Linked DNA regions of Macaca fascicularis. The protein of the gene in region 2 binds, or shares a complex with, the protein of the main gene of each other region. Links are inferred from orthologs where the notes say so. Each region holds a gene or a part of one and is shown on either strand. Other genes may lie near its edges. The genes, in order: RBM22, BCAS2 and CTNNBL1.

The links.
Region 1: BCAS2 (region 2) and RBM22 share a complex: the UniProt entries of both Homo sapiens proteins name them as parts of the postcatalytic spliceosome P complex. The link is inferred for Macaca fascicularis from reciprocal best matches to the Homo sapiens genes BCAS2 and RBM22.
Region 3: BCAS2 (region 2) and CTNNBL1 share a complex: the UniProt entries of both Homo sapiens proteins name them as parts of the PRP19-CDC5L splicing complex. The link is inferred for Macaca fascicularis from reciprocal best matches to the Homo sapiens genes BCAS2 and CTNNBL1.

The regions. Positions count from the first base shown.
Region 1 is NC_088380.1:157,572,714-157,579,454, reverse strand, and holds the end of RBM22 (pre-mRNA-splicing factor RBM22), read left to right. Parts: coding exon 1-68; intron 69-894; coding exon 895-1,095; intron 1,096-2,361; coding exon 2,362-2,526; intron 2,527-3,293; coding exon 3,294-3,382; intron 3,383-3,572; coding exon 3,573-3,704; intron 3,705-4,721; coding exon 4,722-4,852; 3' UTR 4,853-5,813; downstream 5,814-6,741. UniProt on the Homo sapiens protein: Required for pre-mRNA splicing as component of the activated spliceosome. Involved in the first step of pre-mRNA splicing.
Region 2 is NC_088375.1:119,786,819-119,794,180, reverse strand, and holds the start of BCAS2 (pre-mRNA-splicing factor SPF27), read right to left. Parts: upstream 4,798-7,362; 5' UTR 4,774-4,797; coding exon 4,681-4,773; intron 4,574-4,680; coding exon 4,481-4,573; intron 1-4,480. UniProt on the Homo sapiens protein: Required for pre-mRNA splicing as component of the activated spliceosome. Component of the PRP19-CDC5L complex that forms an integral part of the spliceosome and is required for activating pre-mRNA splicing.
Region 3 is NC_088384.1:93,895,112-93,901,852, reverse strand, and holds part of CTNNBL1 (beta-catenin-like protein 1), read right to left. Parts: intron 6,260-6,741; coding exon 6,187-6,259; intron 5,948-6,186; coding exon 5,889-5,947; intron 4,400-5,888; coding exon 4,251-4,399; intron 1-4,250. UniProt on the Homo sapiens protein: Component of the PRP19-CDC5L complex that forms an integral part of the spliceosome and is required for activating pre-mRNA splicing.

The DNA.
Region 1 (6,741 bases), on a different chromosome or scaffold from region 2:
AATCGACCCCACATTTGCTCCTTCTGGGTGAAAGGAGAGTGTAAGAGAGGAGAGGAATGTCCATACAGGCAAGAGCCGAGCCTCATTTTCAGTATTTGCTTTCAGATGATTTCTCATCTAAGAAATGGGAGGTGCTAGCTTAAACTGTTTCTGCTTTAAAATCTAAAGGTCATACAACCAATGTGGTGTATCTGATGTCTTAGAACTATGAAATTTAGAAGAGCATGAATAAATTGTAGTTTTTACTTACAATTGAGCCTTGGAAACTAAATTGCTATGCCATACAATATGGATGCTGGCCTTAAACATTTCTACCTGAGAAGTACATCTTCACTGCCATGATTTAAACACTTGACTCTCAATGTATAGTTGAAGTCAAAGTAAGGTCAGACTACTAAAGGGTGTGTATGTTTTGGTTAAGACTGCCAAGCATCTGTATTAGGAGTTCTTAAATTTGGGATTAGTTAACCCTACCCCCTAAAAAATAATATATGTGCTTTCTCTGGAGCTAGGTCCATAGCTTTAATCAGATTCTCAGTGGAATACAATACCCCAAATGTGTTAAGAATCATTGACCTAGAGAGGGGTAATCATGTGTCCCTTTCTAGGGGGCAGGAGGGGGCGGATCATGTCAAGAGTTTTTATTTATAAGGAAAGTTTGGCATCCTAGATGGCCTAATGGCTTTTAGGAGGCTAGGAATTCCTTTTGTCATACAGTAAATCTCTTGGTATTAGGTCTATTTTGGTAATTGTATTTTGGTAGAAACCATAGTTTCTAGTTCAAAAGGCACTTCAGAATGTGTATCTAGGACTTTAATATGTAGCTATTCTTGGAAGATACCATTTTTTCACCTTTGTTTCACCTTTATGCCTTGTTTTTTTCTTGAATCATAGACATGAGAAGCCTACAGATCCAGATGACCCCCTTGCTGATCAGAATATTAAAGATCGATATTACGGAATCAATGATCCTGTAGCTGACAAGCTTCTAAAGCGGGCTTCAACAATGCCTCGGCTGGACCCACCAGAGGATAAAACTATCACTACACTATATGTTGGTGGTCTAGGTGATACCATTACTGAGACAGATTTAAGGTTTGTGGGTATAAGTTAAAGAGTTATTTTTGCCTTTAACTGCCCTGGGATAATTTATTTGCAAAAACTGCAAGGATGATCATTCTGTACAAAATCCATTTTTCTTTAGTCTCTCTACTGTTAGTATCATGCTGACTGGAATTTTTGTAAAATTGTCCTTTATGGTGCCACAGTAATAATGTGCTTATCTGGCTGGGCACAGTGCCTCATGCCTGTAATCTCAACACTTTGGGAGGATCTCTTGAGCCGAGGAGTTTGAGACCAACCTGAGCAACATAGTGAGACCCCATCCCTCTTAACAAATCAAAAAAATTAGCCGGGTGTGGTGGCTTGTGCCTGTAGTCCCAGCTGTTTGGGAGACTGAGGCAGGAGGATGGCTTGAGCTTGGGAGATCAAGGCTACAGTGAGCTGTGATTGCGCCACTGCACTCTAGCTTAAGCAACAGAGTGAGACCCTATCTCAAAACCAAAGCACAAAAAGTGCTTATCCATCCTGGCGTATGGTAATAATGACACAGAATTCTATTTGACCTAACAGCCAGGTTTTAAAGGATGGCACGCATCCAAGTATGATTAATTATGTAGAGGAGGGAGAGCTTTGTGATGATAAAACTCTTATGGTTTAAATTGTTGGCTTTTTAAAGAGACTGGCATTTGATACATTTGTATTATTTTTGGCTTGTATTATGCTTGGCTAGATGAGACATCTGGGCAGATAGTAATGGAAATTACCTCTTCCAAAGAGATAAAGTGGAGAAGAAACTCCTGTAAGTTTATAACCTGCCCTTGGTAGCCTGTCTCCGTTAAACCCTATCTGAGTGAGCTAGACAACCCCCAGGGGTTGGCAGACTTTTGCTGTAAGAGGCTGGATAGTGAATATTTTAGGCATTGTGGGCCACATGCAGTCTCTGTCACATATTCTTGTTTTAAACACTCTTGGCTCATGGGCCTTGAGAGCTGTAGTTTGCCAACCCCTTATCTAGGATTTAGGAACTTTAAGGAACCTATTAGAACTCCCTTTCCTCCATGGGGAAAAAACCCTGAGATGTTTGAGAACCTTTATTTACTCATTTCTCTTTCCTTCTCTCAATAAGCAGCACCCACATTAGGACAAGATATGGGAGGGAAGACCTGAGGGTAGTTAGGTAGATAACCTTGGGGCCCACCTGCCTAGTGGTGTGTCACTGAAAGTTAATCCATTTTCAGTCTCTTGGGAACATCTTTGTTCACTCCCATTTTCATTTTTTTTCTGCCTGTATCCCTTCAGAAATCATTTCTACCAGTTTGGAGAGATCCGGACGATCACTGTTGTGCAGAGACAGCAGTGTGCTTTCATCCAGTTTGCCACAAGGCAAGCTGCAGAAGTGGCTGCTGAGAAGTCCTTTAATAAGTTGATTGTAAATGGGCGCAGACTGAATGTGAAATGGGGAAGGTGAGAATTAAACTATTTTTAAGTGACATTTTGCTCACATTTTTAAGAAACTATGTCATTGTCTGGAGACTAGGAGGCTATTGATTAACAGGCTTAAATGAATAGGATCTTTAAAGAGATCTTTCAAAAGTCACTCTCTGTTTGATACTTGATTCCTGTGGATGTTGGGAGAACCCTGCTTTGGAAATGTATTCAGGGGTTTGTTGTATAATCTGCTCCTTTGAAGTTTCATGTTTTTGTGACTAGCTATTATAGGCCAGGTATAATAGCCAGGGCATGAAAGGTGAGTTTCAGGGTTTATAAATGAATTAGACCTAGATTCTGCCTTTGGAGGCTGATTGTCCAATGGAGAAGATAAAACAAGGAAGAATCGCTATTTTAAGTTTAAAAGTGATGATTGCATAAGAGAGACACAGGCGAAAGACTCAGTTCAAAGGGGGAACATGTCTCCGACTTGGAACCAGGGAAGAGATGGCTAATAGCAGCATCTGCCTTTGTGGAGAGCTCCCTATGTGGTAAGCACAGTGCTAAACATGTATGTGTTGCCTCTTCTGGTCCTTATGATAGTTCTAGCAGGTTTTGAACCCAGGTCTTTTCTGGTGTCAAAACCTTTGCTCTTATTCACTGTGCACAGTGGCATTTATGGGAAAAGTGTGTGCTGAGGAGGAGGTAGGGCAAAGGAACTCCATTGGACTGAGGAATTTAGGAAGCAGACGTGTGAGATAAGGTGGGCCAAAGTGCCAACTGTATGCATGTGTGTTTCCCAGATCCCAAGCAGCCAGAGGAAAAGAAAAAGAGAAAGACGGAACTACAGACTCTGGGATCAAACTAGAACCTGTTCCAGGATTGCCAGGAGGTGAGTGCAGACTTCCTGCTGACTTCAGAAGCTCCGTCTGCCCTGATGTTCCTATTTTGGAAGACGGGACCCAGGTCTTGTTCTCGTTGCCACTCTGCTCTCCCAATAGGACCTCTGAGAATGTAAAGGTGGTAAAAACTGTTGCACAGTTGTTCTCCCCTCTATGTGTTGACTATGTTCTCTCCTCCAGCTCTTCCTCCTCCTCCTGCGGCAGAAGAAGAAGCCTCTGCCAACTACTTCAACTTGCCCCCAAGTGGTCCTCCAGCTGTGGTGAACATTGCTCTGCCACCGCCCCCTGGTATTGCTCCACCTCCTCCCCCAGGTAACTTCCATCTTCCTTCTTAGCCCAGAGAAATCCTTGTGAAAGTTCTGTCTCATAAACGTCACCATCACGTTCAACACGTCCAAATCCTGTGAGTTTGCTCTGTAGAAGTCTATAAGTAAAGTTGATCTGTTGGGATTTCTGATATTTTTTTTTCTCCTGCTCTGCCAAGGAGAAGAAAGGGGCCAGTTTTCTAAAGATCCGAGTATATGTGTCATCAGAGTAAGATTATTAGATTACAAAGATCTATCACCAATTTGTTCCCTTTTCTAAACTGAATGCTAATGGATGCCCTAGAGCACTATTGCTCAGTGTGGGCTGTGAGTGGGTGTCATTTTACAAAGTGTTTATCATCTGTCTGCCACCAGATCAGGAGCTTGTGCCGAAATGTAAATCAGTGAACCCCTTCCTTCATTGAGAAAGTCTTGTTACCAAAAAAACTGTCAGATGAACTAAACTCTGCCTGATCATATGATTTACATTCTGACTCAAGCTCTTTGTCTTTTCAGTGGCCAGAAATAGGTGGAAGACTGGCACTTTGTATAGCACTGCTCTAGACAGCGTTAACAGTGGAAGGAAATCACAGGTAGCCAGTTCTCCTGTGGCAGAGAGCCCATACTCTGAAGTGAATCTGGTTTCTGAACCCCCTCCATCCTGGTGTCAGGCATTAAGGTTAATGATGACACAGTCTTGCCATCAGCCTGATTTCTTCCTTATCTCCCAAATCCTGACTGACTCCTGTCTGGTAGGATTTGGCGTGTTGGATACATAGCAGAGACTCAGACGACATACTAGGCGATACCTTGTGTGCTCTGGAGTTTTTTGGACTTGGCGGGGAAAGGTTTCTAAAACCAAGGAAATAACAGGTGGAAGCAAGTTTTGTGAACTGACATTTGCTTAAGCCCGGTGTCAACCTTGATTTATGTGTAGATGGTTTTAACCTTAGCAAGATTGAGAGGTTTGAAAGGTTATCAAGGAAACTGCAAGCCTAACACATTTGTTCTTTCGTATCTGCAGGTTTTGGGCCACACATGTTTCACCCAATGGGACCACCCCCTCCTTTCATGAGGGCTCCAGGACCAATCCACTATCCTTCTCAGGACCCTCAGAGGATGGGAGCTCACGCTGGGAAACACAGCAGCCCCTAGCACCTTGTCACCACTCTGGGGCTCTGTGGAAGAAAGGGCACTTAAAACTCCCAGTAAATCTTGGAATAAATATATTTGTCCTTCCCTTGTAGTTTCCATGGTAGCTGAATGTGCTCAGATGTGGGCATTCGGAGACTGACAGCCATGCTTTCCTACACATGTTCAAAGGATTGATGGACCGTAAATAAGCTGCCGTTAACACATCTGGTTACTGCTATAACACGACTAATAAAGCCTAATGCCTGTTCCCCTTACCTGTGTGGGGGACAAGCAGATGAGTGAATTGGAATGTCCAGCAGAGTTACCATCCCAATTATATGTTCATTTTGTATATTTTTTGGGCGGGGGAATAATTGACCTGCGGTAAAAAAAACCTTTGACCATTTTTATGTCCATTGAGTATTTTCCTTTTCATCCTGTTAAAAAAAAAAGATAACTAGTACTAATCATTGGAGTGGCCTAAGTGTGATTTAACTCTTTGGAAGTCACACCCTCAGAAAGATGAGTAGAAACCAGCACCAGCACAGCCCAGATCTTTTCTTTCCTCTCCTTTTCCTCGTTTATTCCTAAAGGAATCTGACCATTTTAAGTCTCTACGGCCCAAAAAAAAGACAAAACTAAAAATTCCTTTTTATTCCTGTCAACTGGATGGAAACAAATTTAATGGAGCTGTGTACCATTGAAGAAACCTGGTGTCTGGCATGAAATTACTGTAAAGAACTTCCTGTGAAACACGTTCTTTAACAAATGAAAAGCATTGGAGCGTGTGAATGAAAGACTTGTGACCTCCTGCTGGGACTCTGATAGTCGTCAGCATTCACCTTCGTGTGTCTTCAGTGTCTCATTGTCATCCCTGCTTCTGTTTGGTCTTAGAGTGTTTGGATATAACTGAATTGTAGATGGTAAAGGAAATTTGATGTGTTTTTGTTTTTAAATAATTAAAACGGGTCAATTTTTGAAATGTTGTCATGGGTTTATTTCTAGATTCCTCTTTATCCTTTGGTAGCTGAACTCGAGGTCAGTGGAAGTTATTTAATAGAAATGAGTTATATATTGTAAATTTTTTAAATGTTGCTTTAGACTTTTGATTATATCCATTCCATGATGATTTACTTATTTTACTATTTTTTTACCTCAGCCTATTCCTGGGTTAGATTCCATGATGATTTAAAAGGCCCAGACCTTTTTAGTACTTACTTCAAAGGGTGATTGTGAGGTTGAAATAAGATAGTGCACAGAAACACTTAGCATAGATCCTGGTGTATGGTGGTTGATAAAGGGTAACTTTAAGAAGTCACCCAGCTGGGTGCATGCTGATAGTGCCAGCTACTTAAGAGGCTGAGGTGGGAGGATTGCTTGAGGCCAGCAGTTCAAGGCCAACCTGGGCAACATGGTGAGATCCTGTCTCTAAAAAATAAAATTTAAAAGGTCATCCTTAGGCAAGTCATTTTAAAAGGAAACATTTATTATAAATTCATTTTTGCTAAGGCAACTTTTTTTTTTTTGAGATGGAGTCCTGCTCTGTCACTAGGCTGGAGTGCAGTGGTGTGATCTCAGCTCACTGCAACCTCTACCTCCTGGGTGCCTCCTGGGTTTAAGCGATTCTCCTGCCTCAGCCTCCTGAGTAGCTGGAATTACAGGCATGCGCCACCACACCTAGCTAATTTTTATATATTCAGTAGAGATGCGGTTTCACCATGTTGGCCAGGATGGTCTCCATCTCCTGACCTCATGATCCACCCACCTCAACCTCCCAAAGTGCTGGGATAACAGGCGTGAGCCATGGTGCCTGGCCATTTCCTTAAGCCAATTTTATGCTACTTTTATCTAAAATGTTTACTTCCAAGAAGGACATGCCCCATATGGCACCCTGTTTTAGATTTGCAGAA
Region 2 (7,362 bases):
CATATGGAAACTTAATCCCCAATGTAATAGTATTAAGAGGTGGGGTCTTTAAGAGGTGATTGGGTTATGAGGGCTCAACCCATTCATGGATTAATGAGTTATCACCAGAGTGGGTATGTTATAAAAGCCAGTTTGTCTTTCTCTTGTGTGCCCCTACGTGCCATGTAATGCTCTGTGCTGCTTCAGGACTGTACACCAAGTACACATCAGCAAGAACGCCCTCACCAGATGCAGCCTGTGAACCTTACTTACACTTTCCAGCCTCCAGAAATCTAAGAATTTTTTTTTTTTTTTTTCACGATGAAGTCTCACTCTTGTCCCCCAGGCTGGAGAGCAATGGCGCAATCTTGGCTCATTGCAACCTCTGCCTCCCAGGTTCAAGCGATTCTCTTGCCTCATCCTCCCGAGTAGCTGGGATTACAGGTGCCTGCCACCACGCCCAGCTAATTTTTGTATTTTTAGTAGAGACAGGGTTTCACCATGTTGGCCAGGCTGGTCTTGAACTCCTGACCTCAGGTGATCTGCCCGCCTCAGTCTCCCAAAGTGTCTTTTCTTTATATTCACTATCTTCTCTAGCAATTTTACTGTTTGCCAAGTAAATGTAGTATGGCTATTCCTCTTTAGGGATGTTTTGGCCAATATCTTATCCCATTTCCGTTCTGCACATTTCCTACCCTGAGTATAAAGAACTGCTTAAAATATTTGTTTGTAGTAATACTTCAGTTATTCCATGTAATTTTAATTTTCTGAGGGCTTCAACTATCTTAACAATTAGACTAGAGAATAAGTATCAAAGGCCTTACAGAAGCCTGCATTAATGTTTAAAAGTTTTGTATTAGGCCGGGTGAGGTGGCTCACGCCTGTAATCCCAGCACTTTGGGAGGCCGAGGTGGGTGGATCACGAGGTCAAGAGATTGAGACCATCCTGGCCAAGATGGTGAAACCTTGTATCTACTAAAAATACAAAAACTAGCTGGGCATGATGGCACGTGCCTGTAATCCCAGCTACTTGGGAGGCTGAGGCAGGAGAACTTCTTGAACCCGGGAGGCGGAGGCTGCAGTGATCCAAGATCGCGCCACTGCACTCCAGCCTGGCAACAGAGTGAGACTCCATCTAAAAAAAAAAAAAAAAAAAAAAAAATTTGTATTAAGCATTTCTTTCTGGAGAAAGCATTTTGCAGGCGCTACTGCTAAATTACACATAATCTTAAGAAAATGTAGTTATCTAGTTTCCTGCAAAAAATACCAAGGCATTTTAGCTAGAAAATTCTGCAGTGACAAAGAGTAACAGCTAATAATTAAACAAGAGGCAGTATAAAAATGTATAAGTAGTCTTGAGCCATACAGCACAGGAGGAACCCTTAACTAACTCACATGCTCAGTAAGTGATAGATCTGGAATTTTAGCTCAGCTCTCTCCAAAGACTAAGCCAGTGTTCATGGAGCTAAGTCATGGGCGGCGGGGTCGGTGGGGGAAATCCCTGCTCATGGAGTAGTCTCATCTCAGCTTTGAGAGGCCTTCCTCAACCACCCAACCTAGAGTCACCCAGTCACTTTATCACTATCATTCTCTGTGCAGCATTTATCAACAATTTTTCTGATCTATTTATTGTCCGTCTCAACACTCTAGATTGTAAGGTTCATAAGTATGGACCCTGCCGATACTGTTCTCCAATATCCAGCATGGAATAGACCTTCGTAAATAGTTGTTAAGTGAATTAATGAAAGAGTAATTTCAAAGGCAGTTTGAAGAATGGTTAAGGTCTTAGTCAATGAGCCTTTCTAAGCTGCAGTTTTCCCAGCTAAAAAAATGGGGATAGTGAACATAGTTATATAGTTTATAGAGCTGTTTTGTGCACCAAGAAAGACAGTGAGCCCAGTATACATTACCAACTATTACTAAGAAAGGATGCCAAGTGTGGTGGCTCACACCTGTAATCCCAGTACTTTGGGAGGCCGAGGCAGGTGAATCACTTGAGGTCAGGAGTTCGAGATCAGCCTGGCCACAATGGTGAAACCCTGTCTGTACTAAAAATACAAAAATTAGTTGGGCATGGTAGTGCATGCCTGTAATCCCAGCCACTTGGGAGGCTGGGGGAGGAGAATCGCTTGAACCCAGGAGGCAGAGGTTGCAGTGAGCCAAGGAGTTGCATGCACTCCAGCCTAGGCGACAGAGCAAGACTCTGTCTCAAAAAAAGAAAGGATTAAATAATCAGTAAACTAATTACAGGAGAATCATTTGAACCCAGGAGTTTGCTAATTAAATAATCAGTAAACTAATTACAAAGGTATTTGAGAGAAGGAAAAAAACTGGCAAAAGTATTATAAGAAGTCTGTGATTGAATGCAGTTATTTGAAAACGTCAGAAATCAGTCCAAGAAGCATTACTGTACTTAATTCTCTTTTTTTTTTTTTAATGAGATGGAGTCTCGCTCTGTCGCCCAGGCTGGAGTGCAGTGGCGCCATCTTGGCTCACTGCAAGCTCCGCCTCCCGGGTTCAGGCCATTCTTCTGCCTCAGCCTTCTGAGTAGCTGGGACTACAGGCACCCGCCACCATGCCCAGTTAATTTTTTGTATTTTTAGTAGAGGATGGTCTCGATTTCCTGACCTCGTGATCCACTCGCCTCAGCCTCCCAAGGTGCTGGGATTACAGGTGTGAGCCACTGTACTTAGTTCTTAACGTGGTTAACATCTACACCTAGGTAACAATATTTGGAAAAAGCATAGGAAAACACGTTCATAGAAACATATGTCTTCTACTTAAAACTTAGCCAAGGCAGGGCGTGGTGGTTCACCCCGTATCCCAACACTTTGGGAGGATGAGGTGGGCGGATCACTTGAGGCCAGGAGTTCAAGAAAAGCCTGGCCAACGTGGTGACACCCCATCTCTACTGAAAATACAAAAATTAGCCAGGCATGGTGGCAGGCACCTGTAATCCTAGCTGCTCGCGAGGCTGAGGCAGGAGAATCACTTGAGCTCGGAAGGTGGAGGTTGCAGTGAGCAGAAATGGCACCACTGCACTCCAGGCTGGGTGACAGAGTAAGACTCCGTCTCAAACAAAAACAACAAACTTAACTATTTTTTCACGTTACTTTAATGTAAATAATATCTTTTTTTTTTTTTCCCTCTGAGACAGGATCTCAGTCTGTCGCCAGGCTGGAGCGCAATGGTATTATCATGGCTCACTGTAGCAGCCTTGAACTTCCAGGCTCAAGTGATCCTTCCACCTCAGCCTCCTGAGTGGCTTGGGCTACAGGTGCATGCCATCATGCTTGGCTAATTTTTTAGTTTTTCTTTTGTAGAGAAAGGGTCTCACTATGCTGCACAGGCTGGTCTCAAGTGATCCTCACACCTCAGCCTCCTAAAGTGCTGGGATTACAGGTGTGAGCCACCACACCCAGCTAAATACTGCCTTTTAATAATACAATCCTTTCATAAATAAACGATTAGGTATAATGGGAAAAAAACCTCCAAGTTGTACATATTGAAATACTTGAATCCAATAATTTAGAAATAACTTACATTTCACTTAGCTAATTAGACCCTAACTAGAATCTTGGGTGTACTTCAAGGTTATACATTTAAAATAGTATCATACTCACTGTGTGCAGTAGAACAGCATCTGACTCCCTAGGCAAGCATGGGCACTCCTTTCTCTAATTCTCTTGTCCTTATATATACCTCCACTACAGGTCCTTTACATATTATTACACATTTATACATACTATTGTAAACTTTCTGTTTTATATATCTAGCTCCTCATTGTATTGTATTTTTCTGTATTCAGAAACCCTATCTTTTTTTGGAGACGATGCTTGTCTTAAATAAAGAAAAGAAAAATTAAAATACAGCAAAATACATATTTTTTTAAAACCCAGATATTTTTATCTCTATGATTTCAGAATCTAGAATGGCACCTAGCACTTGGAAAGTATTCGTATCAGGGAAAGTTCTTGCCTACATTAATCAGAACTGTGTTAATAAAAACATCGGACAGATTATAGAAAAAAGGAGAAGGCTGAGAAAAGAGTAGTATACACTTGGATATGGTTTGTCCCTTCAGTCATACCACAAACGTTTGGTAAATAACTAGACTTTAATACGCCACTCTCCAGTGGTTCTAAAGAGCTTAGGTAATTAGGCTTATACATACTAAAAAATTCTAGATCACCTGCTGTAGAGTGACTCTTGGCAGGAGAGGGTCCCTTTGAGAATTTACGCATGGATCCTATCTCAAAGAATTGTGGCCACAAATTTTTGCATTAAGTGAGTCGTGGAGTCCCAGAAAGTCTTCCTATGGATCTTAGAATAAGAACCTCGGAGAAGACTTATCTATCTAGCTGTTTTCAACAGACTGGTACCTATGCAGGCAATGGTTAAAACTGGAATTTAAAAATCACTTTTACGTAGCTGAAGCTCTCAATCCAAAATAAAGGTTCACAGGAATCCTCGTTCATACCCGGGGTCAAGACATACTTACTTCAAAGGCAGAATAATCCGGGGCTGTTAGGTAGCTCAGGTAGTTCTTAGTAGGTCGGTATCTGCGAGTTTCCTCCTCCACCAGCGCTGCAGCCTTAGAAAGAGAATTGGGGCCAGGGTAGAAGCGGCAAATTGTAACATGTTTCTTTCGGTACCGAGCCAGCGAACAGTGAGTCAGCTACAAAGACACCCCGCACTCACCGCTTCCCGCACACCAGGGGCTTCATAACCTTGATCAAAATACGGCAGCGCATCCACCACAACCTCTCCGGCCACCAAACCCGTGCCCGCCATTCCGAGGACCTCAGGTTTGCCTGCGTTTTCTGCGTTTGCGTAAACTGAGTTCTATTTAGATACGCCGGCGCCTGACACTGATGTAATCACGTTCCCGGCATATTGACGTTCGCGCATGCTCAGTTGCTAATTTTGAAGGCGGGTCCGCCCGGTATCTAGAAATTGCCGGGCTGCTTTGTTTTGGGCGGACGTGACGTCAGTCTTGGCTTCATTGCGTCAGCGGAAGGCCTCAATTTCCTGTCTTCTGCTTACTGTATTTTTTTTGCCAGCGAATGGTGGCTATTTGAAGTTAGGGCTTTTCGTTTCCTCCAAAACATTGATATCTGGAACGGGAGCCCCTTAACACTTTCGGAGGGAACTGGCTGCAGGATTTGACGGGGAGAGATAACTGATTTCCCACCTCTGCTTACTGCCACCGTCTCCCCTTAATCTTCTCTTCCTCTGTGCCGGACTTCTTTCCTTTTTTATTATGGACACACGCTCTTGTTCTGCTGCCCAGGTTGGAGTGCAGTGGCGCGATCATAGTTCACTGCAGCCTCAACCCCCCCAGGCCCAAGCGATCCTTCCACCTCAGCCTCCTGAGCCGCTGGGCCTAGAGGTGCACACCACCACGCCTGGCTAATTTTTAATTTTTTTTTTTTTTTTTCGAGACGGAGTCTCACTCTGTCGCCCAGGCTGGAGTGCAGTGGCGCGATCTCGGCTCACTGCAAGCTCCGCCTCCTGCGTTCACGCCATTCTCCTGCCTCAGCCTCCTAGTAGCTGGGACTACAAGGCGTCCGCCTCCATGCCCGGCTAATTTTTTGTATTTTTTGTATTTTCACCGTGTTAGCCAGGATGATCTCGATCTCCTGACCTCGTGATCCGCCCGCCTCGGCCTCCCAAAGTGCTGGGATTATAGGCTTGAGCCACAGCGCCCGGCCATTTTAAAATTTTTTTGTAGAGTTGGAGCCTTCCTATGTTGCCAAGGCTGGCCTCAAGCTATCCTCTCGCCTAGGCCTCCTAAAATGTGGGGAATACAGGCGTAAGCCACTGCACCCGGGGTCGTTCCTCTTTTACTTCCTTGCTGTACCCCGACTATCCTCCCCCCTCGCCACCCTGAAAACCTTTGCATTGGATAAGTACAATTCTTAAAGAGGCTCTAGAATTGGGCGCCAGTCTCCAATTAAAATTGTGAAGCTTTATGGTCTGAGTATCAAAAGGAACCTCAGTTCCTTAAAAATCCTGCCATTTTGGCTTTAGGACTTAAACGGTAATAGAATGGCACTCCTGTCTCCAAACCATTCAAGCTGCTGCCCATGCACTTTGTCTTCTTCATGGCTCCTGGACTAAGCAGCCTCCCTTTGATTAAGCAGTTAAAGACCAAATAAAGTTGTCAGACTATATACCCTGCCCAGTGTGCGGTCTAGACCCAGGCTTTGTCTGCCAAGAGCCTCGAAATGTTGACCTCCATTATTAAGCCTGATCAATCTAAGACTAATTCTTATTACTTAAGTACCATTAGGTAAATGTGCTAGCTGTAGATTTAAGTGACATAAAAGATCTTTACATCTTAAGAATTCTCCAAGGGATCTGTGGGGTTTTTATGTATTTATTCATTAAAAGATCTGTAAACAACATTTTATACAAATCTTGATTCTTTTACAAAAATATCCAGAATTCATAACACTTTACAGAAACAAAACACAACAGACCTAAGGAAATGAAGCAGCTTCAGGCTGCAAAGATGAAGACAGCATTCCTGAAGCGCAAAGGTCTCCTCCTAAAGGGATAGCCAGGATCCATCATAGTAAACCCTTTTACCCCCATTTTATAAACATCCAATTATTAACTGTTCCCGCTGGGTTGCAGTGTAAGAAGAGACCAAATGGAGAGATGTCTAGTAGAAGCCCCATTAGGGTAACCTGCTTAACATTTAAAAAAAGGCTCAGTTCTATTCCCTGGACCCACATCTGTAGGAATTATATTATACAGCACCAGTCTTAAATGGTGTTCTGCTTCAGGTTCATGCATACCTGAATGGGTTGTAATGAAATACTGTGCAAGTCAATAAACTGTATCACAATACAACTTAACAGTTTTGTAAGGCTGAATAAATACTTTCTGTGCCAGTTGAAACCATCAGCAGAAACTGAAGAAAACAAACTGACATTTGCTATAGCATTAATAAATGAAAAGTGCACCATCTGAACTTGAATTTGCCCATTAATTTGAAAAAACAAAACAAACAAAAAAAAACAGGCCCGGTGCACTGACTCATGCCTGTAATCCCAGCACTTTGGGAGGCCAAGGTGGGTGGATCACCTGAGGTCAGGAGTTCGAGACTAGCTTGGCCAACATGGTGAAACCCCGTCTCTACAAAAAATACAAAATTAGCCAGGTGTGGTGGTGGGCACCTATAATTCCAGCTACACGGGAGGCTGAGGCAGGAGAATTGCTTGAACCCAGGAGGCGGAGGTCTCAGTGAGCCGAGATCGTGCCATTGCGCTCCAGCCTGGGCAAAAAGAGCGAAACTCCGTCTTAAAACACACACACACACACAACATTGCACCATCACTGAAAAATTTCTCTTTCCAATCACTACTACTACTA
Region 3 (6,741 bases), on a different chromosome or scaffold from region 2:
AAGCAAATGAAAATGGAAACACAGCATACCAAAATTTATGGGATACAGCAAAAGCAGTATTAAGAGGAAAATTTACAGCAATAAGCACCTACAACAAAAAAGTAGAAAAACTTCAAATAAACAACCTAACATCTTAAAGAATTAGAAAAGCAAGAGCAAACCAAACCCATAACGAGTAGACGAAGAGAAATAATAAAGACCAGAGCAGAAATAAATGAAACAAACAAACCAACAAAAAAAGATACAAAGGATCAACAAAATGAAAAGTTAGGTTTCAAAAGATAAACAAAATCAACAAACCTTTAGCCAGACTAAAAAAAAAAGAGAGAAGATCAAATAAATAAAAAACGGAAATGAAAAAGGAGGCATTTGGCTAGGTGCAATGACTCACACATGTAATTCCAGCACTTTGGGAGGCCAAGACAGGCGGATAGCTTGAGCTCAGGAGTTCAAGATCAGACTGGGCAACATGGTGAAATCCCATCTTTGCCAAAAATATTTTTTAAAAATTAGCCAGGCCTGGTGGCATGCAAGGGAACTTTTGGGAGTGATAAAAAGGATCTGTAGATACGGCATTCTATATGGTAGCCACTGTGTAGCTACTGAGCATCTGAACTGTGGCTATTGTAACTGAGAAACTAAATTTTAAATACAATTTAAATAAATTTAAGTTTAAAATTTAAAAATTGATACCGGACTTATTGGAAAACATTTAAGTTTCTTTGGACAAACTTAAGTATGAGAATCTGTTTTCAACTCTAAATTTTATGAAATCTAAATACAAATCAAGTATTCTGATGAAAATTTAGCATCTGAATTGGGATGTAAATGTAAAATGTTCACTGGATTTTGAAAACTTAGTCTCAAAAAAATGAATGTGAAATGGCTTACTAATAATTTTGTTATATTGATTACATGTTGAAATAATTTTTGACTGTGTTAAATACATTATTAAAATTATTTTTGTTTCTTTTAACCCTTTAAATGTGGTAGCTACTAAAAATGTAAAATTACCTATCTCACATTACATTTCGACTTGATAGTGCTGTTCTACATCTTCACTGTGGCGGTGGAAACATCTGTCAAAACTGTACACTTAAAATGCATACATTTTGTTGTATAAAAATTATGCCTCAATAAAGTAGATAAAAATATTAAATTGGTAGCGAACATATGCTTGTGTGTGTGTGCACATATGTGTGGGAAGGAGGGCATATGTGGGAAGGAGGGAGTATGTATCAATGAGTATCTTGTTTGTGATCTTTCCTTATCAATAATCAGAAAGGAAAAAAATTCACTGAGTACATACATGCAAAAGTAACTGTTCTTCTGAAGAGTCACCATATTAAATTATATCATAGTTATTTAATGTGTGCTTCCCTCACTAGACTTTGAGTTTCTTAGAGGCAGGAACCCTGTTTTGTGCATCTCTGTATAAACCTAGCACTTAACATAGAAAGTTAACATAGTACCTTAGCAGTGTTTTGCAACTATAGAATTCTCCCAGATACTTTATAGAGTTTAATTCTGTCAAAATCCCTGTAAATATGGTATTATTAGTGCCAGTTTTCAGATGAAAAACTGAGAATGAGAAGGTCACAAAGGTTAAAGTAACTCACCAAATATCCAGAGCTAATAAGTGAAACAGCATGTTCCAAACCCACACTTACAAGTCCCAGGCCCATTCTTCCACCCTCCTCCATACTGCCACCTCTCCACGTGGCATTTCACAACTGTCTGATGAATGACTGAGTCAAAGTAAAGATTTGTATTTAGGGGCAATGGAACCACAGAAACTTTCCTGAACCTCTAGTGTTACAGCTTCTTAGTCTTGAATAGGCTCTCTCTAGACAAAGAGCCACCTGGCAGCTCTTACTAAAGATCAGAAAGGGTGACTATAGTATGGAAAAAAATATTCCATCCCAATTAAACTTTCCATTTGGGAGTCTGAAGAAGAAAAATAACACAGAACAAAGAGTATGGGAAAGAGAAAAAAGGAAATGCTGAATCTGCTAATATGGCTAATTAATGCAAAAGAATGAATATAACAGCAACTTCAGCATTCAAAAATGAAAAGTTAGGAGATCTAGAGAGGTACAGTTTCTAAGTCTTTTGGAGCTCTCCTTTAATTAGCCTCCCTGAATCTCAGCATTTCTGTTTGAATAATCCATGTTTCTGGTTATTTATTCAGCTCCCCACTGCTACGCAATACCAAGCCATATGCTACAGAAATATATCACTTCATATTTGCACTCAACCATCCAAAGACACTGGCAATTCAGACCTTTAAGAAGCTTAAGGAAAAGTCTCTTCAGACCATTGTGTTAAGGTTAGAAGACTCAAGAAGCCAAATGCATCTTCTATTTATGCTATTTACTTGAGAGAAGGTGGGTCATTTCAACAAAAGGACAAGCAATTAGAAGGGTAAGGGAGATAAACAAAAGACTCAAGAGAGTAAAACTAGCAAAAATCAGCTAAACACAAAAGGCCTCTGAGTAATTTCTCATGCCCCTCTCTGCACTTTAAAAAAAAATTGTTTTTAAAAGCAATTCCTTAAAGGAAGACTTCTGGTCAATGCAAGGTCTGGTACGCACTGGACAAATGAAGAGGTCTACTGTGCCTCCAGCCCTTCAGAAGCCTTTTAAGATGTTTTAGAAATAATACACAACAAGTCATCACTTAACATCACAGATAGACTTGGAAATGGCAACTTTAAGTAAAACGGGATATAGCAGGTCAGATCCTCAAATAATACCGTTGTAACAATGATCAGAAAAACTGGTTTCATTATACATCATTTCGCTTAAAGTTGTGGTTTCCAAGAATGTTATTGATGATGTTAAGGGAGAACATACTGTACCTGGATAATCCTAACATCCTTTTAAACACAAAAATGGTCACTGTAGAATTTGTTATAATAGCAAAACACTGGAAATATCCTCAACGCCAACAACAGAAGAATACTAACTAAGCCACAGTCCCTTGGAGGCCATGATGCAGTTACTGAAAACTCCCATGAAGATTATTCACAGCATGGGAAACAGCATGCTATGTTTGAAATGTCGCAATAAAGAAAATCGTATGTGTGGCAGGCTTAAAAAGTTGTTAAAAATTATAGAAAAAAGACTAAAAGAAAATATACACCCAAAGACAGGCTGTGTTTAGGTCACAGAACTGTTTTTCTAACTTTGTGGAGACAGAAATTCTGTCTTAGGTATTTCTGTGTATGCCCAGCACTTAACATAGTACCTTGTCAATGTTTTAATAGCAGTTTTGTATTTTAGTATCTAAATTCTATTTAACAAATATATATCACATTTCTGAAAAACATTTCCAAAGAAATATCTTAGTTCAACAGGGCTTTCAGTATACTTGAAGTTTTAAGACAGCAGACTCTGGCTCCATTTCTTTCTTTCTTGTTTTTTTCTTTAAATCTCAACTTCCTCCTTCTGTAGGGCACAATTTCATAATGACTAGAATCTTCCAACCACATAAACATGCTCATTTTTTTTTTTAAAGTCCCTTGACCCTATGGCACACTCTGGTTATCCTCTCAGCCTTCCCCCACACACTTCTCTACTCCCCTTCCTAGACAGGGTCTCAAGAATTATAAATATAAGCTTCCTCTTCCCTTTTTGCTTCTAACTTTAGGATTCTACAAAATAACTGTGAAACTAATATAAGATCCAATTTCAGGAATTAGAGTATAAATAATAAGACATACAAGGCAAGTACTATAAATAAAAGTTTCTGGAACTATCTTGCACATTTTCATATTTCCTAAGCTAGGCATACAGCACATGTACAACTCATTACTGAATGAGGAGTGAAAAATACAAATGATATACTGCTTTCAATAAAAATACAGAAAAACATATGGCATAGATAGGTCTATGTGATATATACAGAAAATCAGTTCAAGTTTAGAAGTAATGGCTAGATTTCCCCAAAACTAACACACTATGGGAAGGAGAGGAAAAACACCAATGTCTTTCAATGGAGCGGACATATTAGCAACCACCACAGTAGGGCACAAACAGAACACAATATACTTTTTATTCGTCTACTCTAACTTTAGGAAAGACCACATACCTACACAAACACATCCTCATGCTTGAAGACTTTACTCTTCAGGGTAAAGTCTAGGAAACCCAACAGAATAAATGACCATAGCTACATGCTCTTGAATTCAGGCTAACAGTGAAAAGTCAGGCAAAAAAGGTGGGAAAACTAGGACATTCAAAACATACCTGAGCATGAGATTCATCAGCTGAAGACCCTCGCCCTTCAGGAAGCGCTCACGGTTAGAACTAAGCATTAGACAGGAGCAGAGGGAATCAAACAGATTCTCCATCATCTCCTGCTCCTCAGCCGTGCTGGGATTGTGTCTTTTAAACACCTGTCAAGCAAAAACAGAACAAAGCACAGAACTATTAAGAGAACGTTTTTTCATGAGCCTCCATCCAACAATTTCTAAAACCTGTGGGTCATAACTCTACGGTTGAGGAAACAGAAGCTCACCAAACAAAATTCTCATCAGTTTCCATTTTAGAGAAACTAAATAATTCACATATATTAAATAAATGCAAAAAAAAAAAAAAAAAAAGCCAAAACACTCAACTGACCACTGGGTCCATCAGTAATTGACAGTTTCAGGCAAGCAGATTTTTTAAAAAACCAAAACCCAAATAAAAACCAAAACCTTTTTATTGTGAAATATAACACAGATACAGAACAACTCCATAAAGGACATATAAAACTAAATGAATGAAGTGAACACCCCTGAAATCATTATCCAGGATGAGAAACAACTTTGCCAACTACCCTCAAAGCCCTCCACTTGCCCAACCCAACCATATCTCATTTCTTCCCCTTCTAAAAGCAACCACAATCCAGGGGGGTGAAACATGGCTCAATATAAGGAAGCGTTTCCTGACAATCAAGGCCACTGAATTCCCTCACAGGGGAGTTGGGGTTTTAATTCATGGGAAGTGCTTACAGCAGAAGTCTTCTTTTTGCCAGAGATGTAAGGCATGTTAAGAGAAGCCTTTAAACAGTATATGCATACCCATATAGTCTACTAGGAGAAGATCAATAGTCTCACAGGAAAAGGACTAAGCACCTTCCCAGAACTGGAAACAGATTCACATTTCAAAGCTCTATTTTTGGGGTGGAGGCCAAGCCACTCAGGCTGCTGGCACCAAGATGGAAGCTGTATGCAAACTGACATCTCAGACTCTCCCAACACTCTCAAGATTTTATCCAAATGATCTATTTTCAGTCCTGTTTTTAGAATAACACAGATGAAACTTGTAAGAGGAAATCTTAACAGTATTTTCAGAATGCCAGCAGAATAACATTTCAACTGGATTTACATTTCTTACAGTGAGAAAATGGCAGTTTCCAAGTTCTCACTCCAGCCTTCAGCACCACATCCTCCCCTATCCTCCCCTTGACCCCCACCCCACTGCAGTGGAACTTGGACTCCTTGAGCTTATTCAGATCCTAAATGAACATACTCCATTTTCACAGCAGACTGAAAGGAAGGTTGGTGAACAATCTTGGGAGTGGGTCAAATGAAAATAATTTGGTATGCCTGGCCCAGAACATACACACTTAAGCAGGAGGCACATCTTTTTTGAGTTGACAATATCATATCAGAAGACGAAGAAAATTCATATCTGACACACAGTGATGTCTGGTCATAAAGAGCAAATGACTAAGAAAAGGAGGCAAACCATGTACCTCCATATAACCCTCAAACCTGCCAACATACGCCATATGGCTTGCAGCACATGGCTCATTCCTTCCCACAATTTCCAGCTCCACCTCCCATTCAAAGCCAGCCATGTATCTTAGAGCAGACAGGAAGCATAAGAATTACTCACAGATAACTGCTGAAGAAGCACATCGATTCCATCCAGCTCCCCAAGCAATTCCCTGTTTTCTAAAAGGGGGAAAAAATAGAGGAAGAAAAAAAAAATGAACCTAACTGTCAGATTTTACAGCCGTCTAACACTGATACATCAGCAAACAAAATCAATACAGCTTGACAGAGTACAAAAGCAGCACAGGGAGCGAGAGGGAGAGCAAGGGGATGCCAAAGGCAAGAGAGCTTGCTGTCATGATCTGAAACAAGCCTGGCTCCTATCCTAACAGAATATCAATACTGAGAGGGCGCCTCACCATCATTGTCCTGGAGCAGTATGGCCAGCACTTCACTGCAATACAGTTTGTTGGCATCGAAAGGCATCTTTGCCTATGGGGAAATAGGAGAAATGAGAAAAATGTTAAGAGGTCTTGCTTTCTTCCCCAGGACAAATTTTTCACGAGTACTACGATCTGAGTTAGAGAGAAGGAGAAGTTAGAAAGGGAAAAGGCAGTTAAGGGGAAAAACGTCGGCCTCTGCTCTCAAGAGACCAGAACCAAGTAAAGTGACAGACTGAAACAATGGTTCTCACACTCTTAATGCCCAGGTATTAAGGTTACCTCCTCGGTAAAGACTTCCAAGATTTCCCATTTTGAGTCCAGAGATTATATATGTCTCGCCCATAGTACTCAAATGTGAACTAGAAGAATGAGAGTTTTGAACTTTTAAGACTAAAACTCACCATGAAGCTTAATGCACAAGCTACAATCATGAAATTAGGCTATAAATTAGTTAATATATGAGCAGAGAAGTTGAAAAGAAAGCAATTCTTGATTAACTGAATATATTTATCACAAAGTAGTTCCTTCTGG